Pelodiscus sinensis: one gene and its partners. The protein of the gene in region 1 interacts with the protein of each later gene in a biochemical or structural test. Links are inferred from orthologs where the notes say so. Each region holds a gene or a part of one and is shown on either strand. Other genes may lie near its edges.

The links.
Region 2: the proteins of SNTB1 (region 1) and TANC1 interact in a test that uses a peptide from one of them, tested with the Homo sapiens proteins (2 studies listed by IntAct, with this or other methods). The link is inferred for Pelodiscus sinensis from reciprocal best matches to the Homo sapiens genes SNTB1 and TANC1.
Region 3: the proteins of SNTB1 (region 1) and CYSLTR2 interact in a test that uses a peptide from one of them, tested with the Homo sapiens proteins (2 studies listed by IntAct, with this or other methods). The link is inferred for Pelodiscus sinensis from reciprocal best matches to the Homo sapiens genes SNTB1 and CYSLTR2.

What each region holds. Positions count from the first base shown.
Region 1 is NC_134712.1:21,360,996-21,370,920, reverse strand, and holds the start of SNTB1 (beta-1-syntrophin), read right to left. Parts: upstream 4,029-9,925; 5' UTR 3,561-4,028; coding exon 2,996-3,560; intron 1-2,995. UniProt on the Homo sapiens protein: Adapter protein that binds to and probably organizes the subcellular localization of a variety of membrane proteins. May link various receptors to the actin cytoskeleton and the dystrophin glycoprotein complex.
Region 2 is NC_134717.1:32,483,544-32,493,491, reverse strand, and holds the start of TANC1 (protein TANC1), read right to left. Parts: upstream 4,062-9,948; 5' UTR 3,955-4,061; coding exon 3,929-3,954; intron 1-3,928. UniProt on the Homo sapiens protein: May be a scaffold component in the postsynaptic density.
Region 3 is NC_134711.1:289,116,473-289,127,204, reverse strand, and holds the start of CYSLTR2 (cysteinyl leukotriene receptor 2), read right to left. Parts: upstream 4,943-10,732; 5' UTR 4,579-4,942; intron 1-4,578. UniProt on the Homo sapiens protein: Receptor for cysteinyl leukotrienes. The response is mediated via a G-protein that activates a phosphatidylinositol-calcium second messenger system.

The DNA of each region.
Region 1 (9,925 bases):
GTTTCAAGACACAAGAACTAATGTATTGGCACAGCAGCCAGCAATGTTCCTTTGCTCTGCCAATTGTTTTTAATGGGAGAGAATTCTGGGAGGATCATCTCTTGCATACCTGTGTGTTTTTCCTGCAGCGAGCTTGCTGTTTTTAATACAGAACTCTCTAGGAAGGTAAGGTAAATCACAGAGGGCATAATCCAGTTCCCACAAACAGCAACCCCTCCCCCCATGGACTGCACTAGCTAAGCAGGATCAGTCCAGCTGTGTCAGCCTTTTTCAAAACTAAAACCAAAAGTTTTCAAGCACCTTTGATTTTCCTTGCTTCAGTCATAAAAGGGATGTTTTATATGGTATCTTTAAAGAGTGATCTTCAAAGTGGGATACTAGCTCTGATAAAACTGTCCTAAGCTATCTGTTTGAACAAGTCCTTCGCTGATTCCTTGCTAACCTGAATAGTGGGTTCTGGGAGACACTGTGGGAGATTCTGATTTCAGCTGCTCCAGGGGACCTGGCCCAATGTAAGTATTTCAGCATCAGTCATCCTTTGGGGTGACATTAAAATGCATTGCTATTCTATTATAGAAATAAGGCATCTGCACTCACTTCAGGGGAGGAAAGAGCGAAAGGCAGCTGCTGCAATAAGGCTTTAAAAAGGAGAATGGAGCAGACTGAGTCCCTGGTCTTTGCTCCTATAGGGAACAACACTGACTTTTTATAAGTGTTGCACACCTGCATGTCCAGTTTTGTGTATAGGGGCTGCATAGGGGAAAATAGTTAAGAAAATTACACAGTATTTGCTATGTTAATCATTAGACAACACCAAAGGTCAAATTCTGTCCATAGGTAGGACCACACAGCTGTAATCTATCACTAAAGATGGAATTCGGCCACAGTAGTGTCTCCCTTTCTGCTCTCTGACCTAGTACACCTTTGTGATCTATTTCACTGCTGGGTAAAGAAAGGGGACAATTAGATAACACCCTGACAAACAGGAACCCAACAATTCAGAAATATTTAATTTCTTCTGGGTGACAAGGTCCCCTTGTTATAAGATGCAAAGTTGATCAGCTCCTCACTTTCACAGCCAGAGTAATCTGAAATGCCTTGTGTTTCACCCCACAGACGCTATAAGGTTTTAAACCAAGGATTCTCATCCCCTTTCCATATCGCAAGCCTATATTCAGGTATTTACAACTGATCCACAAATGCATCCCATAATTCTTAGCACTGGCTCCCACAGCTCCTCCAAGAAGTGTTACCATTTTTCAGTGACTCAAGAGAGGCAAATCAGAAACTGTGCTGTTGTTTAGTAGAACCAGAGGACGAACAGGCTGCAAATGACTGAACAAATCCATTTCAAACTAAGATAGGAGACATGGAATAGCAGCAGGTTCACCACCTCGCTCCACAAATGTTAATGACTCAAAGGTCAAGAACTGCTGGTTAAATGAACTTATGTACAAATAGGCACTTTATCAAACACACACATGCATACCAAGGGCATTTTCTGTTTAACACGCAATAGGCATATTTGTTTCTGCTGATCCTTTTCTCAGGTCTAGCAACTAAATTAACTCGCCTGGAAAAGACTCTTCAACTACCCTCCCCCCAAAAATCTTGAGATCAATGGAACTTTCTTTCCGGTCTTTAACTTATTCTCTCTTCTTTTTTGCTCTTTTTTCATACAGTCTGTGCCAAAACCCTCAAAGACTCGCTTCTTTTGCATTCCATTTTTAAGGTGGCTTCTAAAAGATCATCTCACCGCAGTCTGTGGTTTTTTCCCCTACAAACGTTTCAATGAGATATTTGCCAATTTCTATCACATCTGTTCCCCTTCTCTCCTGGGATGAACTAAGAAGGGTGTGTATGTGTAAATTTCAGTCATTTCAAATCACAGAGTTGCCATAGCCCTATGTGATGTGATCTGCTTGTTTCTCTTGCCTTTTTGCAGAGCAAAAGTAATAGTCAAACTCTCTCTCTGCCTTCTGGATTTGAAGTCTGCTTTTTTTGTGCCTTTGTTAGTCAAACACAACATGACAAACACTGTCTTGGATTATCGGAGCTGTTTAGGAAGGGTTTGCTAACTATGTCTCTTTGCAGAAAGGGCTGCAAAGCCCCAGGCTGGAGATCCTGCAGATAATTGTCACTTAACACACTACCAAATGTCAAAATGTGGACGATCTCAGTAGTTCAGGCAGTTCTGTCACTTTTTTTCCCTCCCCCTTGACAAGAGTTTAAAATCTCTCAACCTTGTGCCCAGGGAAGTGCAGGTAGTTTCTTTATGTCCCGTTCAGGTTTGCATTGTACTGTAGTTTGTGACCTGGCTTTCCTCTTCCTCCCTTTTTTTATTTTTTTTAACATACACATAGTGAAACTTGCAAAGCCCTTAGCTTGGCGCTGGGGTTCCCGGAGTTTCTTTAGTCAAATTAACCCCTAGCTTTCCCTAGCCATAGGCGGGGATCTCTCCGCTAACCTACCATCCGATCTGTTTGGGGAAGCTGTCCCCTCTCACAAGCTCCGAGTTGAGCAGGACGCCTAAGGATCTTAGCGCTGCTTGTAAAACCAAATTAACTCTTTACTTCCAAGTCACAGACACGCACAGCCCTGGCGTTTGTGATCTGGGCACTCTAGGGAGGATATACTCCCTCTGCCCCCTCAATAAACACGCCAGAGAACAGGTAGCAAGAAGGCCCAACTTTGCAGGGGTGAAAACCCCTTACCTACTGCTGTCCCATGGACAGCAGGATCCACCCTGCCCTGCCAGCGTCTCAAAGCTCATGATACTCTCTCGATATATTTGTTAGTCTCTCAGGTGCTACAGGATCACTTGTTTTTTAAAGTTGCAGACTCACAAAACTACCCCCTGAGAGTTTTTAACAGGGGCAGGGGAGTGGTTGGGACACACAGGAGTCCTGTGTCTTTCCCCCTGCTCATCACCCACTGCCCAGTGTGCAAGGCCTGGGGCAGAGGGACAGCCGCCGGGCTCCTTTTAACCCCTTACCTTCCAGCAGCACCTCCTTGCCCGCCCGCTTGAGCGCCTGCACCGCCTCGTCGTGGGTGGCGTCCCGCAGGTCCGTCCCGTTCACGGCCAGGATGGCATCTCCCACGTAGAGGGCCTGGGTCTGGTCGGCCGCCAGCCCCTTGAAGATCTTGCTGATGAGGATGGGCATCTTGTTCTCCTTGCCCCCCTTGATGCTGATGCCCAGCCCGCCCAGCTCCTGCTTCAGCACCTTCACGCACCGCTTCTTGTTGGAGATGGCGTCGGGCACTTGCTCGGGGAGCTCGGTGAAGGCGGTGCGCACCCCGGGGCCACCCCCCGCCTTGGGGCTGCCGCCGCCGCCGGGCGGCTCGGGGCTGGCGGCGGCCGCCCCCCGGCAGGGCACCCCGTTGCCGCTGGCCCCGACGCCGTTGTGGGCTGCGCCGTCGGCGCGCTCCTCGCAGCTCAGCACCAGCGCATCCTCGCCCAAGTTGGCCAGGACTTTGTGCCAGCGGTCCCGCACCAGGACTTCCAGCCAGCCGCTCCGCTGCTGCGCCCGGCCGCCGGCCGCCGCTGCCGCTCCCGCCATCTTTGGAGCATTCTTAGCGCACCATGTGATTGCACCGCCCGGCCGCCAGCCCGCCAGCCGCGCACAGGACAGGGCTGCGCCCCGGGAGCGCCCCGAGCGCCGCCAGCCGCGCCCGCCGGCCGGGGGCGGAGCAAAGCCCGCGGCTCGCCCAGCGCCCGGCCAGGCGGCTGCCTCGCAGGCGCCACCTCCGCTCACCTGCTGCGGGGCGGCACGTGGAGGGGGGGGGCCCTGGCAGCGCAGCCCCGGGCGCGCCCCAAGCCGGGCAGGGCGCTCGCCCACCTGCTGCCCGGCCCGTCAGCGCCCGCTGCTCCCCCCTCCCGGCCCCGAGGAGAGAAACGCGCACAGCAGGGAGCGCCTGGGGGGCAGCTCGTCCGCTCCGCACCCCAGCGAACCCTGGCCTCCTCGCCCCGCGGCAGCACGCGCAGACGCGTCTCTTCCCTGACCCAGCGCTAGCTCCGGTCTGCCCAGCGGCGCGCTCAGCCCCATTCTCCCAGCGAGTTACTTTCCATGTCTTCCTGGGGGCAGTCTCCCCACTCACCGCCCCAGGTCTGGGAAGCCCCTTCCCCTCTTCCCGTCTCTCCACTTTGCCTCGCTTTCCCTTTGCATTCACTCCAGCTGAGCCAGTGTTACTAACCACTAACAGAGCATAGCCTGGGACAGAACATGAACATAATGGTCGCACTGGGTCAGACCAGATCTGGGGTCATTTGGCGCCGTAGCTCGTCTGTTGGTAGCAAATTTTGCAAGATGCTAAAGAGGAAATGTGCAGAACAGGGTAATTATGGAGTCATCTATCCCCTCTTATCCAGTCCCGGCTTCTGGCAGCAGAGGGACACCCAGAGCATGGGGTTGCATCTGCTGTCGATGGAGCTGTCCTTCATGGATTTATTTAATACGTTTCTTAATGCATTTATACTCTGAGCTTTTGCAGCATCCCCCTGGCAACAAGTTCCACAGAGTGACTTTATATTGTGTGAAGAACAACTTTCTTTTGTCTGTTTTAAACTTGTTGTCTGTTAAATTCATTGTGTGACTATTGGTTCTTGAATGAAGGAATCAACAGCGCTGCCTTATTTACTTTCTCCACACCATTCACAATTTTCTCCCTCAATCCTATATCCATGTAATTGTCTCTTTTCAAAGCTGAACCATCCCTGTCTTTTTACTCTCTCATCATAGGGAAGTTGCTTCATTCCCCTAATCATGTTTGTTGCCTCTCTGTACTTTTCCAATTCTATCTTTTTTTAAACAGCATTCCAGGTGTGGGAATACCAGGTATTTATACAGTGGTATCATATATTTTCTTATTATCTATACCTTTCCTGATGGTTCCTAATATTTGCTAGGTTTTTTTGGGGGGGGGGGGAGTGTTTACTTCGGCTGCATACCGAGTGGAGGTTTTCAGAGAACTATCCACAGAGACTCCAATATCTCTTTCTTGAGTGGTAACAGCAATACACAATTCACACCTCCTGATACTGGGAAAGGGACAATATAAAGGGGGGGGAACAAGACACAGCTACTTCTTTTACCATCTGATTATATGTGGTAGGTACTGAAGGCAGGGAAAGGTGGAGCCTCCCCAAATAGCCTTGTGAGGCCCTGGACATGTTCTGCACCCAGGCCCCTTGTCACTTCTCACTGCTGTGGGGAGAGCTGGATTACCCAATAGTCAGACAAAGCACTTGTTTAGGCACCAGCAAAGCAGGGGCACCAAAAAAAATGAGATTTTTTTTTAAAGTTGATATTTCAAAAAAAGCATCGAAGTAGTCCTCATGGGAAAAATCAGAACTCCACAGAACGCTCTTTTTCTCAGCTGAAAAGAATAAAAAACCCTCAGAGAACAACAATGTGTCAGGACAGACTTGATTCACTTTCCCTATTGTGTATGGAAGTGGACATTTTAATTTCAACATACATGTAAGTTTTGTGTCATTTCAAAAAATAAAATTTTATTGTACGGTATAGTATTGTATTTCTTTTGAATTACATATGGGGAGGCACCATAATCTTTTCAGTGCTTAGGGTCTCTAAAGGTCTTAATCCAGCCCTAGCTGTGGGGAACTTTTCCCCCTATGGCTGGGGGCCCAGGTTGGGATTAATGAAGGCTGGCCTGTGCACTGGACTGGGGAAAGCCTCGCACCACCTGCCCACTTGGCATGTTGGGGGGTGGAGCATGCTCCCACTATCCAACACTTAAGAGCATGGCCTTCTACTCACCTGCCTGGTGCTCTGGGGTTGGAGTGGGGAGCTACACTGGCAACCCATTTCACTGGGTGTGAGGGACAGTGGCCCAGGTCTTGGGGGGGGGCTGCCAGCATTGGGAGGGGGGCTGCTAGGCTTCAGAAAGAAGGTGTGGGACCTTGGGCAGAACAGGCAGGGGCAAGTCTCCCTGAGCCTGGGGTTCACCTGCCACCCATGCAGATGATGGTGGCCACCTCTGTGCAGCATGGATGTTGCCAGAAAGCGTGGCTGAGGAGTCAGCAGCAGTCGCCTCATCGACACCCTCCCACACCCTGTTGCCTTCCATGGACAGGAAACGAGCCCCAAGGGAGGCAACAGAATTCAGGGCTTCAGTTTCGTGCACACCAAAGCTTGAGACTTCGGCCCAATAGGCAGTGCTGGGAGCTGGGGCTTTTGCCCTGTCAGAGGTGCTGAGGCTCAGGACTGTAGCCCCACAGGGCACGCTGGGACCCAGGGCTTCAGCCCAACGGGTTTGAAAATATTTATCAGAGTTCTGCTCTGGACACCAGTTGCATTTAAATCCAAACTATTTGAGGTGGGAGAGTCCAGAGACCAGGCTCCAGACCAATCCCCAAAGTTTACACAGCAGCAAAACAGCCCTGATATGGGCCAGCTGCAGATTTTTTCTTTTCTGTGTAGACAGACTCCTAGCGAGCCACAGCCTCTCCCCCAAAGAGCTTTCAGTCTAGCATTACAAGACATAATAAGGGGTTGAAACAACTACTAGGGAAGTAGATGGAGCAATGTTGGTTAGGACAGGATAGCTGAAATGCAAGCTTATTTTTTCATAGACTAAGCTGTATAGACACAAGAAAGCGGCACAATAGAAATGCTTTTTAAGGGATGAGGAAATTGAAATACAGTTGCACTAATGTACAGGGCAGTGAAACGTCACTTATTGCAAATTAGAAGGAATGTTCCCAACTGTTACTCTGCATGACAAGGTGCACATAGGAAGTGTTTCCTGTCAGAGAATCTCTGCTCTGAATCCCTGTATCTGCTGAAGAAGCACAGTACGACATGTCTACACAGCACGGCAAAAATCGAATTGAGATATGCAACTTCAGCTACATCAATTGCATAGCTGAAGTCAATATAGCTTAATTCAGCTTTTGGTGCTGTATACACAGCAGGAAGTCGAAGCAAGAACACACTTCTTTCGACTTCCGTACTCCTTGTAAAATGAGGGTTACAGGAATCAGAGTAAGAAGGCCTCCAGCTTGACATTATTCCAAAATAATGGTGCTGTGTAGATGTGCCTGTAGAGTCCTAAGCCAGTGGCTTTCAACTGGCCTGGGCCTAGAGTGCACAGTAGCTTGTGAGACAGAACCAGTTATGCCTGTCTGCCCCTTACAGCATGAGTCTGTTATTTCATGTTTAGCTTCCAGTTCAAAAACTTGCCAACTGTGCAAGCTTCTGCTCTTGGCCCTGTGGCTTTTGAGTCATTAGGGTGCACTCATGACAATTACAAGCTTTCTTTGCAGCCATGAGAGCTGGAAACTTAACTTTTTAGCTGAAATTCTCCAGCAATCATTTTATGATGCCCCTGCTCATGCTTTATGAGAATTGACTTGTGAGTATAAATATGCATACCTCGAAAATGCTTAAGGCAAAATACCTCATGTAACCTAATAATTTTCATGTTACAATCTGCTGAATGTATATATCCTATTGTGGTGCATGTATCATTCTTGTGTGTGACGTTAAAAATACAAAGTGTGGATCTGTTTATAGTTCTAAATGTGTTAAAGGCAGCCATCACTGATACTCTGGAAACCTAATGATTCAGTAATCAACTTCATAACCTGTGAATAGCCTTGTTTGGCCTGTAAGCCCAAACGATGATTGGTCCTAGAAAAACATGTGACCATACCACCTGGTACTGAAATACATTTTGAACCTGGTATTTTTCCATGGGAATGGAGAATGCCAAAAAAGGGTTCCCATCCTGGGGGAAAGTCTTCTTTAAGCAATGGGAAGCAATCAGCTTTTGTCTTCAGCTGGCTTTTGAAACTGAAACTATATAATTCCCCAAAGTGGTGAACACTGATAGATATGCTAAGCACTCTTCTTTTGGGCTTCATGGAAGGAGCAACTAACTCCATTTATGCAGCGAGAGAGCTGAAAACTATAGAAGGCACTGTCCAAAGCAATGGGCCATAGGGCAAACCCATAGGAGAAGCTGACTGTGGGCTGAGGCTAAGATTTGGTCTATACTACAGAGTAAGTGAATATTGACTTAACTATGCAAGTGTCTACTCTTAAATTTTCCTCCCACTGATGTAACTGCCCTGTAATGCTGACTCAATAATTCCACCTCCAGGAGCAGTGTAGATGTAAGGTTGATATAATTAGGTCAACGTAGTGTCATTTAGATGCTGCATTGCTTACATCAATTATTTTTGGCTTGCAGGAAATGTCCCACAATGCCCTACCCTGCCAGGACAATCAATATATGCCTTCCTGGTGAGGACGCACATTGCCGATCAGAGCTGGATTAAAAGGGGGGGCTAGCCGGGCAGCTGCCCAGGGCGCCAACCTATAGGGGGCGCCTGATTGCAGTTGTAAGGGGCGCTGCGTGCCCATGGTCAGGGCCACACATGCGCCACGTGCCCGCTGCCCGGGGCGCAAGAATGGCTCGGGCCGGCACTGTTGCTGATACAGAAGCAAAGTAAAGATATGCACAAGCGATGTACCTTGGTGGCTGTATGCTGATGTAAATTAGGCCAGCTTAATTTTGTAGTGTAGCCATGGTTTAAGGGATCATTAGGCAAAATATATGTATGTGTGTGAGACAAGGTCAGGCTAGAGGACTAGATTAGATGGGGCACAGGTGGCTTTAAAAAGCACAAAACCCTCTCCTAACTTCAGGGCAGCTAGAAACAGCTCACTTCTTGGAGTTCCGGTGTAGTGATAACGGCCCAGGCAGGGCTGCTATAAATAAATTAAGGGATAGCTGATTTCACTTAAGGTTGCCATGAGGCCTTGTTTTAAAAAGCCTTCCCTCTCCCCCCCAGAGGGAGAGAGTGGAAGAGGCGTTTGGAGGAGGTGAGCGCTGATAAGGAAAGAGACTAGCTGGTAAAGAGAACATCAACACTGCTAGACTAGGTGGGGAAGGTAAGGGACTCTGACAGGGTATGTCTACACTACAAAGTTAATTCGAACTAACAGACGTTAGTTCAAATTAACTTTGATAGGCGCTACACTAGCGCTCCGCTAGTTCGAACTTAATTCGAACTAGCGGAGCGCTTAGTTCGAACTAGGAAAACCTCATTTTACGAGGATTAAGCCTAGTTCGAACTAGCTAGTTCGAATTAAGGGGTGTGTAGCCCCTTAATTCGAACCAGTGGGAGGCTAGCCCTCCCCAGGTTTCCCTGGTGGCCACTCTGGCCAACACCAGGGAAACTCTATGCCCCCCTCACGGCCCCGGAGCCCTTAAAGGGCCACGGGCTGGCTACACAGTTTGTGCCAGTTGCAAGGCTGCCAGCACCCAGCCAGCAGACCCTGCACCTGGCACGCCATGAGCCAGCCACCCGATGCCGCCCAGCCCTCCCCCTCTTCCCGGGACCAGCCTGGCGGCTCCCAGGAGCCTGCCCAGGGCCGCAAGAGGCAGGCGCCCGCTTGGTCTAGTGCGGAGATCGTGGACCTCATCAAGGTTTGGGGGGAAGCCTCCAATGACCACGATCTCAGCACTAGCCACAGGAACGTGGCTGTCTACGGCCGCATGGCTGACAGCCTGGCCGCCAGAGGCCACCAGCGGACCCGGGAGCAGGTCCGCTGCAAAATAAAGGCTCTGCGGCAGTCCTACTCCCGGGCCTGCCTGCCAGGGGCTGACCCAGAGGCCTGCCCCCACTTTCACGTCCTGGACCGCATCCTGGGGGCTCATGCCGTCCATGCCCCCCGGGTGGTCATTGACCCCGGGGCAGAGGGACCGGTCCTGGACACTGAGGAGGAGGAGCGGGAGGACGCCGCGAGCCAGGAGCCTGCCAGGAGCCTGCCCAGGACCCCTGAGGAACGCCACAGACAACATCTCCTGTGTCGTCCAAGGCCGGGGAGGCCTCCACCTGTGAGTACCATCATGCTCCCCTTATGTGTACAGGAGGGTGGGGGGTAGAGGGAGC
Region 2 (9,948 bases), on another chromosome or scaffold:
CTAGCATTTGGAACTTGACACATTCATCCCAGATCCCATAGCACGTTCCAGGGATTTCACCTGCTTGGCTGTGCCAATATTAAGACTTCCATTCTGTTCTCTCTCACTGACACGGGTTGAGGTTTTGTGGATGGTTAAGGGGACAAATCAGGAGGGTTGGTTTGTTTTGGCAGTGTAGACATCCCCAGAGTAGCTACTAAGTGCATCCCTTATTTAGGTGGATGATTGAATCCTTATCTGAATTCTTGTGTTGACAGTTAATATCACGTTCCACAGAATCAAATACTTAACCTATGAGAGTTGGGTATTCTCTCCCTTCAGTACACAGGAGTCCAGTTTCCGAAATAATTTTTGTGGACTGAATATGTTTCAGGCACGGGGCTTTGAAATCAGTGACTCCTGGAGTTCTTTGATGATCACTGCTCATAGAGGCTGGACAAGCCAGTTAAGTGAAATAGGAGAATAGAGATCCTCGCTCTAATTGCTGCTACCATTATGACAAAGGTTAATAAGGAATGTGGGGAAATCATGACTTATCTGGGTAATAGGACAGATGCTATTTCATCTGTCTGAAAGTTCCCTTTCCACTCTGGAAAAATATAAAAGTAGCTAGTGTTCAGGCCACAACTAAGTGGTTGCTAACTTATTTTTGTGCCTCAGAGTTTAGTCTCTTTTCTGGTACAATAAATCTTTGGGCAAGACACTGGAGTTCAGGGGATGAGAGGAGAATTTAGCACAGGCTGTTAACTGTGGAGTCAAGTCTTGGGAGTTTCAGCCACAAGGAATTATACTCTGTGGTTACCTTTTAAGTCTTTCCAACATTTAGTCAAATATTACATGAAGCTTAGCATTTGGGGATTTCCAATAAGATCATGCCATCTTCTGAATGAGGATAAGAATCAATACCATTTTTCAGGAAAATAAGCAGTTATCCTTTACATCGACAAGCACTGGAGAGCTTCCTTTTTCACGAATAGTTTTAATAGACCTTTCAGACTTTCTTAGTAGCATCCTGAGAGGTGCATTTATTTTCTCTTCCAGCACCTTATAAGGGTACACACACAAGTAATATTTTGCAAGATGTTCTCCTCTCCCTGAATTAGCTCAGAATACTGTAAACTGGCCTGATCCACAAAGACTGTTTGGACCCACAGCTTTCATTATGGACAACTTCTAGTTTAAGCCAGGATATTCTGCGTTAGTTTCAACTTTGTCCACATATTGGTTTAATTATTTCAAGACAACACAAAACTGCTCCAAATCCACTATGGTGCAATGGAGTTATTGAGAGCAATGGTATTGTTAGGGAGTGACTCCCTTAGATAAAAAGTAAGTTGCAAAAAAGTTCTGCATTATCTGAGCCTATTACTTCTGCCGAGTCCCCAGTGTCCCCTTAGTTCTTCTGTGAAACCTTAGGGTACGTCATACATGGGAGGTCGACAGATGCCTTTGATATCGACCCCCGCGCGTCCAGACTACCATGCTGTGCCGACAAACAGCTGATCGGCACAGCGCGGCAGCCATGTAAATTTAAATTTAAAAGAAGCGGCGATTATTTAAATCACCTATGTCGGGTAGCCTAATCTACATGCCTCTGGCAACAGAGGCATGTAGACTAGACGTTCCCTTAATGACCATATATCACAACTGTTTCCACCAATGCTTCCATAATCTTCACTCCTGAAATACCATGTTATGGCCACAATCCTTTCACCAGAAGATCGCTTAAAAAAAAGTTGTCAGTACCACTTCTTAATAGGTTGCACTGATTACTGTCAACCAACATGACAGTCCCCCTTTCATGTGCAAAGACTCAGAATGATGTTTTCATAGTACTCCCAGACCATATCTAGTCACACAGCAAGAGAAGAGACAGCCTTTTTTAAAATCATGGTTTCTTATGGTTTCTTTAGTATTTAAAGTGGCGATATTTACACAAAAATACCTTTTAACTAACAGTTATCTAATCTAGGGATGTAAGCAACAAGTCGACTAGTGATGTAACCAGTAGCTTCCCCTCCCTCCTCCTCCCCCCCCGCTGCCTCTATCAGCAAGCAGTCTCCGCTTGCACTGCTTCTGCTGCACTTCTGCTTTTGAAATGTACAAAAGTCCCAGCACGGATCTTGTACATTTCAAAGGCTCAGACACTGCAGGAGTATGGAGCCAGCAGGGGAGTCCCAGGAGCCAGGCTTCTGCTTTTGAAATGTACAAGATCCTCGCTGGGGCTCTTGTACATTTCAAAGGCTAAGGCACTTCAAGGAACATGGGGCCAATGGAGTCCCCCGCTAGTCCCGTGCTCACTGTGGAGCTTCCGCTTTTGAACTGTAGCAAGGGAGGCGCGCCCTTATAGACTAATCTAATAGTCAATGGAAATCCCTTCGACTATTTGATTAGTTAATTAATTTAACATCCCTAATCCAGTCAATGGATACTGATGGGTAACGCTGCCGTCCTTCTTATAAATCTATTAGTCAGGATTTTTTTTTTTTTATGAAATTTCCATTTGGTTGTTTTCTTTTACTGCTTCTAGTAAAACCCTGGCAACATATGAAAGAAAACATTGGACAATGTATCCGTTTCTTTTATCGATATGCAACTTTACCAGAAATCCAGGTGTTAAACTGCTTTATCATTTTGTAAATAATAGAGCTTACTGAATAAAATGTGTGACTTTCAGAACATTCAACTACAACATCATTGCCACCATTTTCTCCTGTGGGGGGGCCCCCACAATTCTCATTAAAGGTAACCCTGTAAAAGAGGGGGGAAATTGGGCATGGTCCCCTATGCCCTCTTATCCTCCTATTTATATCTAGATAAGGAATGTTTGGGAATTTTTTTTTTTTTAATTTCTTTGCTAAAAGCACACAAATTGCTTTTTTAAGGGGAAAGGGGTTAAGATTACAAATTCAGGTTCTGTCTAACCTCGAAGACTGTATGATCACTAAGGAAAAAAAATACTAATGAAATGTCAACACACCAAGAGACTGAAGAGTTATCTATTGTGATGGTAAGAAACTGCTTAATTAGGGTATTTTTAAAGTTTTAAACACTTATGTGATGATCCTGGTCATAGGCACTTAATGGGTTTTAATTTTTAAAAAAAGATTAAAAAAATGTAATCCAATCCATCAACCATTCCTGTCTTCTTTAATCATTATAAAGCAACTGTAAAGTATTCCCCAACCTCACTTTTTAAAAAAATTCCTTGGTAAATCACTATTAATTCTTAAAAATTAGTGAAATACCAAAAAAATATAGCTCCTTTTCAATGGCAACGTTTATAGGAACATTTTCAAATAGGCCAATTTACAGGGAAGAAAGCAACTAGTCAAGTAGTCAACTACATTCAAAAGGCAGAGCCACAGCGGGTTCCAGGAGATAATCCCACTGGGGCTATGCAGTTTCCCCCCTTTTTGTCTAACTGAGTAGCCAATAAGAAATTCCATCCATGACTCAATTATCTGATTAAACACAATTTAGCATCCTTACTAATTTATATGCAATTTTCAATATCCAGAATGTAGAAATTACTTTCAAACATATGGAAAAAAGATGGTTCCATTTAGCATATTCATCCCAGATCACCAGTTGATATCCCTTTCACATAAAATATTAGAAATAAAATCCATTCATATAATTATTAAAGATCATCTACTTTTCTAAACACGAGGCACTCCCTAAAATTCTAAAAATTTAGGTACATCAATAGACACAAAAGACATTTATTTCTTTTTAAGGGAGGTCTAGTCTAAAATGGTATATCAACCAATACCAAAAACAGATAGCGTGTACCTTCCACACTGTGGGGGAGGGGTCTGAAAAACATAGGCTAAGATTTTAGTAAGAGAAAAATATACCATGTACACTATCCACCACTCCCCCATCCACATCGATCTAAACTATGCAACTTAGGCTACGAAAATACCTTAACTGAAGTTGACGTATTTCCATGCAGTAAGGTCAGTAGGAGCTGCTTTCTCGTTGACTCTGGCTACTTTTCTTGTCCTGATGAAGTACCGAAACTGATGTGATAAATCGACCTCTGAGCACTCCCCCATCTAAGCAGACACAATAACAGACCGCTGGTGGATCAATCACTGTAGTGTTGATCCACTGTGTAGTGAAGACAAGTCCTTATGCATCAAAAGGGGTAGAGGCCACAAGACTCATATGCCCTTTGAGGAATCTTATGTATTACATTACAGTAGTTCTAAGTTCTTAATGTACTAAACCCAAGTTCTCAAACATAACTAGCGATTGTGTGCACCTATATAAAAGCATGTACAAGAGGTCTGATTTTCAATTATCAATTTGGGGATCCAAAATCATTAGTTACTTATGAAAATGTGGGTCCAATATTTTATATAGGTAGATAAGTCTTTATTGTTATACCAACAAACAATAAATGCATCTTATTCAAGACAGAAGGGTGTGATGTCTAGGATGCAAAAAAAGTAAAATATAATTTCCCACTTAGGGAAAAATAGGAGGAATTTAAAGCTCAAGTCTTGATTTCACCCTGACACAGAGTCTGGCAAGACTAACAGAGAGAGAAAGCAGTTTAGTGAGACACATTTGACCAAACAGCTAGCCACTGACACTATGTCTACAGTGCTCCAGTATCCCCAAATAGCTATTCCACATCTTCTGAGCATGCCCATTATTTTGAAATATAACAGGCTCCTTATTCCAACAACCCTGTAAACTCATTCCACGAGGAGTAAGGGATGTTTCAGAATAGCAATTTATTTCAAAATAAGTGTTGTGAAGACAATGCCAAATTTTGAAATAAGCTATTTTCTCAAAATAAGCTATACAATTTGCATAGCTCAAATTGTGTAGCTTATTTTGAGTTGCGGGTGCAGTGTAGATGCACCCTGAAAATAGGCTTACAAATGAAGAGAAAATTGGACACATAAGAAAGCAATAAAAACTAAATTCATGACAGCACTGAAAATTGTGCTGACATCCAGGCAGATTAAAGTGATGGACACTCATTAATGGATCTCCAAGACATCGTGTTGCTTCAGGCCAATTCCATAAGCCAAATACACAGGGAAGGATTGGAACTTAACTTCATTTACTTATGCAAATGGTATGAACAGGGACATTGGCTGGCTCCCACACTACCTTCCACATCCTAATGGCTTCACCAACCAACCAAACAATGGAGGTGCTAACTGTTCTTATCAGCCTGTTGTAATTATTTGAACCACCTACTCACTCACTCTCTCTTTTTACCCCTTCCCCCTTTTTTCTCCTTTTTCCTCTCCCTACCCCTTATTTATTCTTTGATCTAGATTTTTAATACTCCAGTCATCTGAAGAAGTGGGTTATGCCCAACGAAAGCTCATGATACCATCTACGCTTTGTTAGTCTTTAAGGTGCGATTATTTTATCTATTTGATAGTTTGTTGTTCTGATAAAATACTGTGGTGGAGGGAAAGCATTAATCTAATTATTAATTATTAGTTTCTGAGTTGCAGGGTGGCCATTTAGATTTTTCCTTCCTTTATTCTGCTAGTTCCAACTGAAGGAGTCTATGCTGAACCCTGACTCAGTAAGTGACATGACAGAATCAAACAAACAAAAGAGAGTCAGGAAGGTTGATCTTGTGTATAAGACACTCAATGGGGACTCAGGACATTCATGTTAAATTCCCATCTCTGTGAGGGTACGTCTACACAGCAACGTTATTTTGAAATAACTTAGTCCACGTCTAAACAGCAGGCAGTTATTTCGAAATAATGTCAAAATACTGTCAAGCTGGAGGACTTCTTACTCCAACTCCTGTAACCCTCATCATACAAGGAGTAAGGGAAGACAAAGGATGAGTGCTCTATTTTGAAATAAGTGCTGTGTAGACGCTCCCAATTTGAATTTCAAAACAAGCTACGCAATTGACGTAACTCAATTTGTGTAGCTTATTTCAAGTTAAGTCTTGCTGTGTAGATACACCCTGACAGACTTCTTGTGCGATCTTAGACAAATCACTTGCTCTCTCTGTGCTTCCACAGAATGATGTTAAAAAGCTACCTTTTGAAGTCCTGTCTATGGTAAACTGGTCTGTAACTCTCATCCAGCCACTACCATAACAGATGATCCAGCTTTTGAAGATGCATCTGCCTAGTGTGAGATCTGTCAGTATATAAACCAGCTATTATGTTCTTTTATTGTTTACCTCCTCTTCTACCCCTTTGTCCTAGCCTGGTTCAGCCTAAATCTGAACCCATATCAGGTCTCTAGTAGATTGTCAAACTTCTTAATAAAAAAGCCTCCTTCCCCCTATTAAACCTACCTACTATGAGGAAATTGTTGCTGACATTTCCTGTCTTTAAAAACACTGTCCAGGAAATATATTACTTCAGAAATCTATCAATAAATTGAATTTGTGCAGCGCTCTGTGGGCATGTGATATGCTACAAGGTACAATTTTTTCCCTAAATGCATATAGTCATATGCAGGGCTTGACAAACAGTGGCGAAAGCTGCTCGCCAGCCCCGCACTGCGCATGCGCAAGAGCCGCATTGCGCATGCGTGCATCGCCGGTAAACGAGACACGCGGCTGAAATCTACTTGCCATGGGCGAGTAGATTCTATAGTTTATTGAACCCTGGTCATATGAAGTTTGAAAAGCTAGACATACTGCATGTATCCATGCAGCAGAACTTGGTAAATTATTCAACCTTTTAAAATAAACTTCCAAGTGTTCTTGAATGATTTTTCTTCCCAGCAAAGGACGTTTGTGTTAGGTGTTTACACCTACTGTAAATACTGGTAATACTTGTGCAGTAGCTTTTCCTAATTATTGCTGCAGGCATACACCTACTATAGGAAAGCTGTATTGTGACTTTAACCTGGTTTTACAAGTATATGGAGTTGAAATAACACTTGCTGTCTCAAGATTGAAATGTATAAATAAACTAAGCCTCTAATGCAGGGCTGAAAACACGTGCCAAACATTTACTGTGACTAAGGGGTATAAAAAATTCACACCCCTAAATCCCTGTGCAGATAATGCTAGGTTGACAGAACATTTATCCATTGACTTAGCTGCCTTTTTGGGTGGTGCATTACCTATGCCGATGGGAGAATTCTACATCAGTGTCTACACTATGGTTCACATCTGTGGTGCCATAGCATTTTAATGTCGACAAACTCTAAAACACTAGAGAACATCCTTTCCCTACCTGTACAACACTGTGTTTTGAACAAACAAACAGTAGAGTAGAACCTCAGCTTTGCAATCCCCAAGGGAATGCAGGTTGTTCCTAAATCTGAAATGTTCGCATCTCTGAACATGACTACGGTGGTTCTTTCAAAAGTTTATAATTGAATATAGACTTAAAACAACTATGAACCTTTACTGAGCAGGAAAAAAATGCTAGTTCTTAATTTTACATGAAACAATCACAGAAACTGTTTCCTTACTTTGTGAATTTTTTTAAAGCCTTCCCTTCAAGCAGTTTACATTGAACACATTATTGCACTTTTTGTTTTGGTCTCTTGCCCTGCTGGAGTTCCAAAAGAGCTTGACTGCTCATTTTGCAACTCTGGTATTTGTTAACTCAGGTTCTGCTGTTTGTAATGAAAGACTGAACCATAATACATACACAAACAAGGGACATATTTAGGTTCCACAGGAAACTTTAAAATCTGTCAATTCCTAACTTTTTTTTCCTGCTTCACTTTACAATCAATATTTTACTTGATTTCTGTACATAATTTATTAGGTTTTTAAGATATAACTGAACAAATGGAAATTCTCTCATGCCACACTCACCTAACACTTTTAAAGGTATTACACCAAGGATGGACAAAGGGCCCTCCGTGGGCCAGGATCTGGCCCACCAAGCCAGTGGATCTGGCCCACGGCCGCCTTGCCATTCCCCCACCCCCAGGCCAATCAAGGCCTGGGGGTGGGGGAAACACATTAAGTCTCCTTGCACCTGCAAGAGCGTGCAGCAGCTAGACACACACACCAGCTATTTTAAAAGAGCCATGTTTATCTCTAGCTGACCCGTTCCTTTGGTGGGGGGTGCGAGAGAGCTTTGCACAAACACTCTTGCGGGGTGAGGACACTTCACATGCTCCCTCGCCCCCAGGTCCTGATTGGCCTGGGGGTGGGGGAGCGGCAGGGCGGCTACAGGCAGGATCCACCGGCTTGGCAGGCTGGATCCTGCCCTCAGAGGGCCCTTTGCCCATCCCTGGGCTAGAGAGACGTGCCAGCTGTTTTAAAACAGCTGGCATGTCTTCCTACCCACCGCACACTCTTGAGGAGGTGAGGACACTTCACATGCTGCCCTGCTTCCAGGTCCAGATTGGCCTGGGGGCAATGATAGCATGCAAGGTCTCCTTCCACTAGGCGCCTATAGGGCACCACCAGCTGTTTTAAAACAGCTGGCATTTTTCTCTAGGGAACAGGGGAGGGAGGAAAAAGGAAGACTTCTCAGGCTCCACCACAAGAAGTCTCCTGTCCCCTCCCCTTCCGACTGAGGCCACGCCCCTTGCAGAGTGGCCAGGACCACTTCAGAAATTTCTGAAGTCGCCGCCTTTTAAAAATTATTGCCCACCCCTCTGTTATACTATCTACCTTGTGTGCCAATACACTTTAAAATACCATATAATTAAAACATACCAGCCAACACACATATCCTTTTTTAAAATACCTTTTCCCCTTAACAGGCCTATGATACATCTGCAAGTTACTCATTTGTTGGCACTGGTCTCACAATACATTGAGTAACTTTTGAATTAGTGTCCTCATTGGCTCACTTATGAGCCAAAGGTGGTAAGTGTCCTCATTGGCTCACCATCTATGTTCATCTTGTGGTGGTGGTGATGTGTTCTCTTCTGAAGGGAGAAAACACAAATGATCACATATCATGAATCTGATGTACGTGGGTAGTTATATATACACTGTTAAGTAAGCTTTTTATAGCAGAGGGTTTATAGTCTCAAACCTAATTAGTTCTTTGACATATTTAATGGAAAAGTATGGTTCTTCCTTTCTCTGCAGAAGCTACATACTTGATTGATGAATGCTATCTTTTCTTAAACTTGTACCCATTCCACATTTTCTGGGGCTGTGTGGCTGAGTCTCTCAATTCTATGCTATTTCCCCTCCCCCTTCTGAGTTTCATGCAGTCTTCTCCATGCTTCCACTCTCATCCTTCCTCCTCTTAGCAATAATTGCCTTAAAGTCTGGAGCTGTGCCTCATTTTCAGTGCCTCCGTAGAGAAGATCATCTCTTCTGCTCCGTTGGACAGCTAGATGCAACTGGCAAGTGAGGAGATTATGGGTGGATAATTGTAATTTTTTCACAATGGTCAGTGTGCTACCTCCATTTCTCAGAAAAAACTTCTGTGCTGTAGCCGTGCCTTCAATTTAGCTACATTCAGAATTGATGCAGACACAGAATTTTAATCGGAAGACTAAGGTTTTTTACCATATTACTATATCTTTATTATAATTGTAGGAATCAAGTCTGTGGAAAATATACTTCTGGTTTGGGGTTTGGTTTGGTTTTTTTTTTTTTTAAATAAAAATTGTGCCTTGGTCACATGAAAGTCACAAACTTATTTCTCTCAATCTGGGCTTCCCTACAGACAGATGAATTGAGCATTCAAGATAAAGAGGAGTCTATCTGTTTAAAAATAAATGGTATACAACTTTGTGTAATTTTATAACAGCTTCTCCCTGCTTCCCATATCAGCATCCAATATCAGCATCCAAAATATCCTGATATAGCTGCAACGCCATTAGTTCTAAGGAAATTCTAGTCTTCTTTCAACAATATTTAAAATCCTTTCTGGTTCTTATTCGTGGCCTTCTCTATTTGCCACTGGAATTTCAGTGGTGTCCAGTTGTTTGAAGGAAATGCAGAGTAACTCAGTGTTTGCACTTAGCTATGTGCATACTCAGCATACCAGAACTGGAAAATTT
Region 3 (10,732 bases), on another chromosome or scaffold:
AAGGTTGGAGACCACTGCTCTATTGCAATTAGACACCCATAACTTTCCAAGTTCCAGAGAAAGGGACCACAAGAAGAGGAACAGACAGAGGTATCAGACATGCAAAGAGCTAATCCCCAAAGCGAACAAGAAGAGGAGCCATAGGAGGTGAATGGAACCAGGACAAGGTTGCTCTAATTTGTGTTAACAAGGTGTACTCATCTTGATTATATGCCTGAGCCTAAGCCTCCAGATACTTCCTAAAATTCAATATCCAGCACAAGGAGTTGATCGAGCTAGAAAAATGCTCCAATGCCTTTCCCTATTTGTAAGCAGTCAGAGCTGGTAAAACTAAGCAGAGCCATTTGTATGTAACTTAGTTAGATATAATATTTATTAAGTCGTGGATACTGCAGCAGTATCTAGTCAGTTCTAGGCTGCATTTAAGAGATTTATCTCAAATTCCTCATATCCAGTCGACAAAAATGTGGAATGTGAACATTCGAAAACTATCCAGCAAATGGGAGCCATTTAGGCATTTCCTTGGTTCACTGCCAGCTTTACTGTCCCTCAATATAAACACAGCTAGCTGCCTGTCGCTTTGTGTTTTTTTTTCTCCCTTTAAAAAGTTATAATATCTGATACTGTTTGAAAATTAGGTCAGTTCTATACAGGGAAAAACTACTATTTTCTGTTATAACAAGTGCACCCATCCTAAAATCTACAGAAATAATATACCCTTCAACTGCCAGAGTTCAGCAGACACTCTGCCGAACAGTGTATTAACAGTTCAGTCAGTAGCCCAATCCTGCACAGTTTTAGATTATATATTCACAAAAGACTAGAACGAATGATTGTACAACAGATAAGGATTAAGTAATATTTCCTCTGAACAGCTGATCAAGTTGCTTGAAGGTGGATTTGAAGATTTAGTAGAATGGTGTTCTCAAAATATTTGGCTCTCCACAGCCAACATCTGACAAAGTCTAAAGAAGACACCCAGATAATGGGCTGGCCAAAGCAGCTGTGAATAACCTTTGGGAGTTTTTTTAAATTAATGGAAACAGAGACAGACTTTGAGTGATAGGTGTTATAAGAGCTATCAGCAATAATTGTGAAGAAAGAAGAGTATCTAACATGAGGAAAGCTCAGTCATTTTATTGTGAGAATTCAACTCTATGTTTTGCCTGAAGACAAAATGTGCAGCTTTTTGCAGCAAGGGAGGTTTAGGTTGGACATTAGGAAAAATGTCCTGTCAGGATGATTAAACACTGGAATAAATTACAGTGGGGTTGTAGAATCTCCATCACTGGAGATATTTAAGAGCAGGTTAGACAGACACCTGTCAGAGACAACCTAGGCAGTACTTGGTCCTGCCATGAGGGCAGGGGACTGGACTTGATGACCTCTTGAGGTCCCTTCCAGTTCGATGACTCTGTGATCCCCTTTTGAAGTACATCCAGATAATGTAAGTGGAAATTCCTCAACAGACAAGGATTGCAAGATGAAACTGAATTAGTATTGTTGGAACATCTAGTGGACCATAATAATGTTTGACTAACAGAAGATAGCAGCCTATTTTTTGATTGATCATGTAATCTGATTTAGTAATGAACTGTATAGTGAGAATTAAACTCAATTTAAGCATTGACTTTAAATGTTTGCTCTTCTTCTTAAATCTTCTAAGTTTTTCCTTTTCCACTGAAAATATCATAGAATGCATCACGCTATGACATCACACATACCTTAGATTTCATGTGTTATAATGTTGTACTCTGGGATATTTTGCACTGAATGTTCCTTGCAGTCTAATTAGCATAACAAGGCATTCTTCAAATAAATCTTTGTTTAATTCAATGGAGCTTTGGTTTTGCAATTCATACCAAATGGGGAGATAATATTAACAACTGTCCAAGAACATAAACTTGAACATAAACTGTTCATTAACTACTCTTGAAAAAGGCCCTGAAAAGTTTATTCTGAGGCTTAGCTAAGGCTACGTGGCTTCTGTTTGTAGACTGTAAAGTATGTGTTTTGAAGTGTCTTATCAGTAAATTCAAAGAGTATGTTAAACCAATAAAGAAAATTATTACATCCCTAAACCACAAAAATCCAAACCAGAAAAAACTCAGGAAGTCTATAGCAAAAGACAGCCAGAATTAAATTTAAGATTTAGGAATTCTGAGGGGAAAACTTGCAGTTTCAGTCATTTGTATACATTTGTAAATTACTAAATACTGATCTGATCCAGATGAGATTCCTAAAAATAGCTTTTGTGTGCTGCTATGTGAAAGGATGGTTGGGAAATTTTTGTTCAAATAAGAAAGTTACCAGAGAGAGGGAAATGTACTATACATTTGAATCAAATGTTTGGGTACTAATAAATATCAAGCAGTGAAGTTGATAACCTTTTTCCTGAAAGAATCAGAATAGGTTTTCCTAAAATTGACATAAACCAGTAAACAGGAGTAAAATCCAAATAACGGCTTTGCTGATCAAAAATAAAACCTCACTGAATCAGAATGGAGGGAAGAACCCCTTTGACTATATATACACCTCACAGTCACATTACTCAGATACTTATTTAGTTGTACTCATATACACCTCTATATGTACTATCATAATTTGTACTTTCAGTGAAATCATTAAACATGCTTATTAAGTTCACAAGATGCTCTAACTTCCTAGTTGACCATCTGCTCAGGAATAGGTTTAACTGTAACTCTGTAGTACTCCAAAGAGGTTGCACAGAGCCTTTTCATGCATGCAGTGACTGGACTGTCCGTGTCTAATTCAGGAACACAGATACTACTCCCAGAGATCATTACTAGCCACTCCAGTCTCCCATTAGGTCAGGAATACCACCTTTCTTGGCCCTTACACCAGACAACAAACCCAGCCTATTATAGAGGGGAAGTGCACTTAAAATACAATTAAAAGGGAACAAGCATTAGTCTGCCCAGATGTCCCTTAAGGAATTAGGGCCAAGAATTCCTCCTGAGACTCCTGCTGATGCGTTGTACCTCAATTCTCTTCCCACTTCCAACCACAGACTACGGGTTAAGACTCACCATCTGGCCTTATAAAGATTGATGTTTATGCACAGTTAGTGATCTATTCAGAATCAGTCATAAAGCGGCAATGTTTATTTTTCCTCAACACAGATGGTGAAATGTGCATGTGCAGTGAAAATGAACAGGCATTTAATTGAGCAGTACACTTCATTTGTTGCTTTCATTTTTAGCTGTTTTAGTTTAACGGAACTCAAAACTTCAATAGTTATTATTATTCAACAGGATGAGCAATTTGTGGTTTAAAATATAATAAAGCCTTCTGTTACCTTTAAATTCAGTTTAATTTAAATTGTGATGACCTAAATTGATCCACTATCCAAAAACATTTCTTCCAAAAGCCAACATGGAATATTTTAGCCCCTTCCTATTCCTGTATCACACTGTAGTGGTATGTGACTCACCACCACTGTGCCTCCTGGTGGCAAGTATGGGAATTAGCTTAATCCAGTTTGAGGGTACATCTACACTGCATGCTTATTTCATAATAAGCTATTCTGGAAGAAATACTCCAAAATAGCTTATTTTGAAACAGCACGGTTACACTAAAGGAAAGCCTCAAAATTAGTCCGAAGTAGGCTTCCCTAATGTGGACATGCTACCTCGATTTAGAACCCCAGGAGACACTAGGGAGTAATTATTTTGAATGGTCATGTGGAGGGGCTATTTCGAAATAGCAGCAGTGGATCATCCACACTAATGCTATTCTGAAATAGCTATTTCGGAATAGGTGTTATTCTTCATGGAATGAGGTTTATAGAAGTAGGAATAAGCTGTCTGTTAGTTCAAATTTATTTTGAAATAACAGAATTCATGTGTATTGTTATTTCATTGTTATAACATTGTTATTTCAGTATAACATCCATTATTCTGAAATAATGCTGCTGTGTAGAGGTATCCTGAGTGTGCTGTGTTTGGCTGGTCTCATCTGTTGTTCATTCACCTGTCTCCACCATCTGGTTCTGGATGTCCCTTAGACCATAGCATCCACTTCATAACACTACCCTCTGGCTATGCCCCCAACGCTGTTCTCCCCCTTTCTGGAGGAATCTGTAGTCTTCCTGGCTCTAAACCTGCCTCCGTGGCCTACTGCAGTCCCAAAGTCTACCTCTTTGCCTCACAGAGGCTCTGATTGGCTATCTGCCATCCTCACCCTGATTTGCTCCCCACAGGCCCTTTCTGACTGTCTGTGGGTTTGTAGAGTCTCCCTAAGGCTCTTCTTTTGGCCTACTGCACCACTGCAAACACCTATTGCCTTTTTCATCAAACCTGTGGGAAGTGTGTACTCAAATAATTAATGTAAGATTCTTGTGAAACTTGTGATTAAGGTTACTTTACAGTGGGTGATAAACTAACTCCAGGATGAAACACATAGGACACAAACACGGGAGTTAAACACTTTTTCATCTAAGTTAGGGCCACAGGGAACGTGACTTCTGAATTGGGAGCAAAGGAAATGGCTTAATAAGTCTAGCTCTGAATTTTGAATGTACTGATTAAGAGCAGTGTCACATGGTGTGCCACTCACCATTAGACTGGTGTCTTCTGGTCATGCTGGGAATTAGGTCATCAGGTCAACACTATGGTCGCATACCACCACTCAGTCTTTTGCTCAGGCTTGCTGCTTCTCTCTCATTCTTGGAATGATGACATCCTCTTTGTGATTCAGCCCTCCAGCTAGATCACTCAGCTTTTTCCTTTCCAAATGACTATATAAAGGGGTATATCAAAGTCTTTCCTTCATCCGTCACAAGCAGTCTTGTTGTTCGCTGCTTCTAGTGCCACTCCTTCCCTTGCAGGCAGGGAAATCCAGGCCCACCTTCTATTCTGGCTTCCAGTCCAGAGACCCTATATCCACAAGTTCTGGGCTTTCCTCTCCTCGCCCTAACTGCTCCTTCCCGACACTGCTTCCTGTCCTCCTGGTTCCTCACCTTTCTCTGGGAGTAACTGCCACAAACCCTCCTTCAGGGAGTGACTGCAGCCTACGCAGCTCAGAAGTCTCTAAACACTCCTCCCTCTTCCTGGAGGGTGATTGCCTTCCCAGAAGCAGCCCCTGTTGTCAACTCCCTGGCTTTCTAGGCCCTACCTATTCCTGCATAACTGAATCTGCTTACAGTCGTCTGCTCTTTGTTTTTTTCATATCATCTCCCTAGTTTTAGAGATATGTAAACATTGCCTTAATATAGAAATAGATAGTTCTGGATTCAATCACCTGATGTTTGTCGGGGGCAGGTGAGCAAAGCCCACAGGTAAGTGCTGAATGTGCGGGACTGGGAGATGGGTTGGAAATGGGGGGGACTACGGCCTATAATGGCAAGGAGAAAGGAGGGTCAGGGCACAACAGGGAGGCAAGATCAAATCAGTATCTTAGATGCCTATATACAAATGCGAGAAGTATGGGTAATAAGCAGGAAGAACTGGAATTGCTAACCAATAAATACAACTATGATATCATTGGTATTACAGAAACCTGGTGGGATGGGACGCATGATTGGAATATTGGTATGGAAGGGTACGGCTTGCTCAGGAAGGACAGACAGGGAAAAAAGGGAGGAGGGGTTGCCTTGTATATTAAAAATGTACACACTTGGACTGAAGTGGAGATGAACGTAGGAGATAGCTGTGTAGAGAGTCTCTGGGTTAAGCTAAAAGGGGTAAAAAACGAGGGTGATATCATGCTAGGAGTCTACTACAGGCCACCTAGCCAGGTGGAAGAGGTGGATGAGGCCTTTTTTAAACAATTAACAAAACTATCCAAAGCCCAAGATTTGGTGGTGATGGGGGACTTCAACTATCCAGACATATGTTGGGAAACTAACACAGCGAGGCACAGGCTATCCAATAAGTTTCTGGACTGCATTGGAGACAACTTTCTGTTTCAGAAGGTTGAAAAAGCTACCAGAGGAGAAGCTGTTCTGGATTTGGTTTTAACAAATAGGGAGGAACTAGTTGAGAACTTGAAAGTGGAAGACAGAATAGGGGACAGTGATCACGAAATAATAGAGTTCATGATCTTAAGGAAAGGTAGAAGGGAGACCACCACAATTGAGGTTATGGATTTCAGGAAGGCAGATTTTGATAAGCTCAGAGAACTTGTAGGTAAGGTCCCATGGGAAGCAAGACTGAAGGGAAAAACAACTGAGGAGAGTTGGAAGTATTTCAAAGGGACGTTGTTAAGGGCCCAAAAGCAAACAATTCCGCTGTGTAGGAAAGATAGAAAATATGGCAAAAGACCAGCTTGGCTTAACAAGGAGATCTTGCATGATCTCAAAATAAAAAAGGAGTCATATAAAAAATGGAAACTAGGACAACTAACAAAGGATGAATATAGGCAAGCAACACGGGAATGCAGGGGCAAGATTAGAAAGGCAAAGGCACAAAATGAGATCAAACTAGCTACAGGCATAAAGGGAAACAAGAAGACCTTTTATAAATACATTAAAAGCAAGAGGAAGACCAAGGACAGGGTAGGCCCACTGCTTAGCGAGGAGGGAGAAGCAGTAACAGGGAACTTGGAAATGGCGGAGATGCTCAATGACTTCTTTGTTTCGGTCTTCACCGAGAAGTCTGGAGGTGTGCCTAACGTAGTGAATACAAGCAGAGAGAGGGTAAGTTTAGAAGATAGGATACACAAAGAACAAGTTAAAAATCACTTAGGAAAGTTAGATGTCAGCAAGTCACCAGGTCCTGATGAAATGCATCCCAGGATACTCAAGGAGCTGATAGAGGAGGTATCTGAGCCTTTAGCTATGATCTTTGAAAAATCATGGCAGACAGGGGAGATTCCAGAAGACTGGAAAAGGGCAAATATTGTGCCCATCTATAAAAAGGGGAATAAGAACAACCCAGGAAATTATAGACCGGTCAGTTTAACGTCTGTCCCAGGGAAGATAATGGAGCAGGTAATTAAGGAAATCGTATGCAAACACTTGGAAAGTAATAAAGTGATAGGGAATAGCCAGCATGGGTTTGTGAAGAACAAGTCATGCCAAACTAATCTGATAGCTTTCTTTGAAAAGATAACGAGCCTTGTGGATAAGGGAGAAGCGGTGGATGTCATATACCTAGACTTTAGTAAGGCATTTGATACGGTCTCGCATGATATTCTTATTGATAAACTAGGCAAATATAACTTAGATAGGGCCACGATAAGGTGGGTGCATAATTGGCTGGATAACCGTAGTCAGAGAGTTGTTGTTAACGGTTCTAAATCCTGCTGGAAAGGGATAACAAGTGGAGTTCCTCAAGGGTCTGTTTTGGGACCCGTACTATTCAATATCTTCATCAATGATGTAGATATTGGGATAGAGAGTACGCTTATTAAGTTTGCAGATGATACCAAACTGGGTGGGGTTGCAACTTCTTTGGAGGATAGGGACATAATTCAAAATGACCTTAGCAAGTTAGAGAAATGGTCAGAGGTAAACAGGATGAGGTTTAATAAGGAGAAATGCAGAGTGCTCCACTTAGGAAGGAACAATCAGTTCCATACATACAAGATGGGAAGCGACTGTCTAGGAAGGAGCATGGCGGAAAGGGATCTAGGGGTCATAGTGGACCACAAGTTGAATATGAGTCAACAGTGTGATGCTGTTGCAAAAAAAGCAAATATGATTCTAGGTTGTATCAACAGGTGTGTTGTAAGCAAAACTCGTGAAGTCATTCTGCCGCTCTATTCTGCACTAGTTAGGCCTCAGCTGGAGTACTGTGTCCAGTTCTGGGCGCCACATTTCAAGAAAGATGTGGAGAAATTGGAAAGGGTACAGAGAAGAGCGACAAGAATGATTAAAGGTTTAGAGAACATGACCTATGAAGCCAGGCTTCATGAACTGGGCTTGTTTAGTTTGGAAAAAAGAAGATTAAGGGGGGACATGATAGCGGTTTTCAAATATCTAAAAGGGTGTCACAAGGAGGAAGGCGAAAATTTGTTCCTCTTGGTTTCTGAGGACAGGACAAGGAGTAATGGGCTTAAAGTGCAGCAGGGGAGGTTTAGATTGGACATTAGGAAAAAATTCCTAACTGTCAGGGTGGTCAAATATTGGAATAAATTGCCAAGGGAGGTGGTGGAATCTCCCTCTCTGGAGATATTTAAGAACAGGTTAGATAGACATCTGTCAGGGATGGTGTAGACGGAGCTTGATCCTGCCTTGAGGGCGGGGGGCTGGACTCGATGACCTCTCGAGGTCCCTTCCAGTCCTATTATTCTATGATTCTATGATTCTATGTTCTAACAAACAGTAATTTTCAGTACAGTAGGAATGGTTTGAGTAAATGAGCTGGACTTCTATGCCCCAAGTGTGTGTAGGCTCCTCATGTTTAGGCTACTACTGAATGGTTGTTTTCTAAATATCATATATAATAATAAGAGTGGGATTTTTGACTGGAGATGAGATGTTCCTATGCAGGCTGCTCTGGGGAGAGAGGACAACCCCAGACCTCTCTTGTCACAGTAGGTGAGAGCAGGTGAGAAGCACCTGTCCATGCTCAGCTGCAACAGGCACAGGTGGGGAAGGGGTGCGTGTCCCCCCAGCTGGGGGACAGACAGACACACAAACAGACAAACTCTTTGAAATATATAGTAGACAGCTTTCCCTTTTTCCACCTCTGCCCCCTGTTGCCCCAATGGAGTTATAGCTGTCCTGGTCCCCATCTCTGGCCCCTTGCTGCCCCCTGTGGTCATTCTGCAGTAAAACTCTCTCCTAGCAAACCCTTCCCTAGCACAGTTGGGGACACATTAGTGAGGCTTGGAGGGGTTTTGGAGCAGTTTTTTTTTTTTGCGCATCTCACTTGTGTGGCCCCAACTGACTTTTCTGTGGGTCAGTTACCCTTGACTCAAAACAGGTTCCCCGCCCCTCTCATTAATAAAGACAACGCTGAAACTTTTTGTGTTTGACATAATATTTTATTTAAAAATGAAGCTTGGCCAACAAGCCCCCAGTTGGGGCCAAGCCCCCATCTGGCTGCAGCATCATAACACTTCTGCACCTCCCTGACCCCAGACTCGAGCCTATCATACACTGGAACTCCTTGTCCTGAGCCTCTCACATCCCCAAACTCCTGCACCCCCACATCCCCAGTCTTCTGCCACAACACTCCTGCACCATCCACACACTGCAAATCTGTGTCCTGAGCCCATCCTACTCCCAGCCTCCCTGCCCTGAGCCCTTCATGCACCCCAGCCAAACTCCTGCATCCTCACAGCCACAAGCCTGTAGCTTGCTCAGCACCCCAACCCTCCACCTGACCCCAACACTCTCCAGCCTGGAGCCCTCTCCCTGAGCCAGCATCCTCTTCTCTACTTTCTCCTGCACCCACATTCCCTCCCAGAACTTGCACCTTTCACCCCTACCCAGTGCTTTTTTTGTGAGCCAAAATAACAGTGGAGACAGCGTGAAGACCTGGGGAAAAGTTAACCAAAAAAAAAAATAAAAAGCAACAACTTTACCCCAGCTCTTCACGCTGTCTCCACTGCTATTGTGGCTCTTTGTCTGGAATGGGTAGGCCACCCCTGCAGTAGGCTAAACACTATTATGTGGTCATCTTACTTTTCCAGTCACACACTCAAATCCCATGGCTACGTCTAGACTAGCATGATTTTCCGCAAAAGTTTTTCCGTTAAAAGCATTTGCGGAAAAGAGCATCTAGATTGGCACAGACGCTTTTCCGCAAAAGCACTTTTTGCGGAAAAGTGTCCGTGCCAATCTAGACGCGGTTTTGTGCAAGAAAGTCCCGATCGCCATTTTCGCCATCGGGGCTTTTTTGCACAAAACAATACCGCGTTGTCTACACTGGCCCTCTTGCGCAAAAAAGCCCTGATGGCGAAAATGGTGATCGGGGCTTTCTTGCGCAAAACCAGGTCTAGATTGGCACGGATGCTTTTCCGCAAAAAGTGCTTTTGCGCAAAAGCGTCCATGCCAATCTAGATGCTCTTTTTCACAAATGCTTTTAACGGAAAATTTTTTCCATTAAAAGCATTTGCGGAAAATCATGCCAGTCTAGATGCAGCCATTTAGTTTGTTTACAATGTAATAGGACTATAAGAACATAAGAATGGCCATACTGGGTCAGACCAAAGGTCCATCTAGCCCAGTATCCTGTCTGCTGACAGTGGCCAATACCAGATGTCCCAGAGGGAGAGATCACCACTGGTAATCCTTATGTGATCCCTCCCCTGTCACTCACCTCCAGAGAAACAGAGGCTAGGGACACCATTCCTACCCATCCTGGCTAATAGCCATTGAAGGACCTACCCTCCATGAATCTATCTAGCTCTTTTTTGAATTCTGTTAAAGTTCTAGACTTCACTGCATCCTCTGGTAAGGAGTTCCATATGTTGACTATGCACTGAGTGAAGAAAAATTTCCTTTATTTGTTTTAAACCCACTGTCTATTACTTTCATTTGCTGACCCACAGTTCTTATATTGTGGGAATAAGTAAATAACTTTTCCTTATTCACTTTTTCCAAACAACTCATGATTTTATAGCCCTCTATCATATCTCCCCCTTAGTCTTCTCTTTTTTAAGATGAAAAGTCCAAGTCTTTTTAATCTCTTTTCATATGTGACCCGTTCCAAAATCCTAATTATTTTTGTTGCCCTTTTCTGAACATTTTCCAGTGCCAATATATCTTTTTTGAGATGAGGCGACCACATCTATATGCAGTATTCAAGATGTGTGCGTA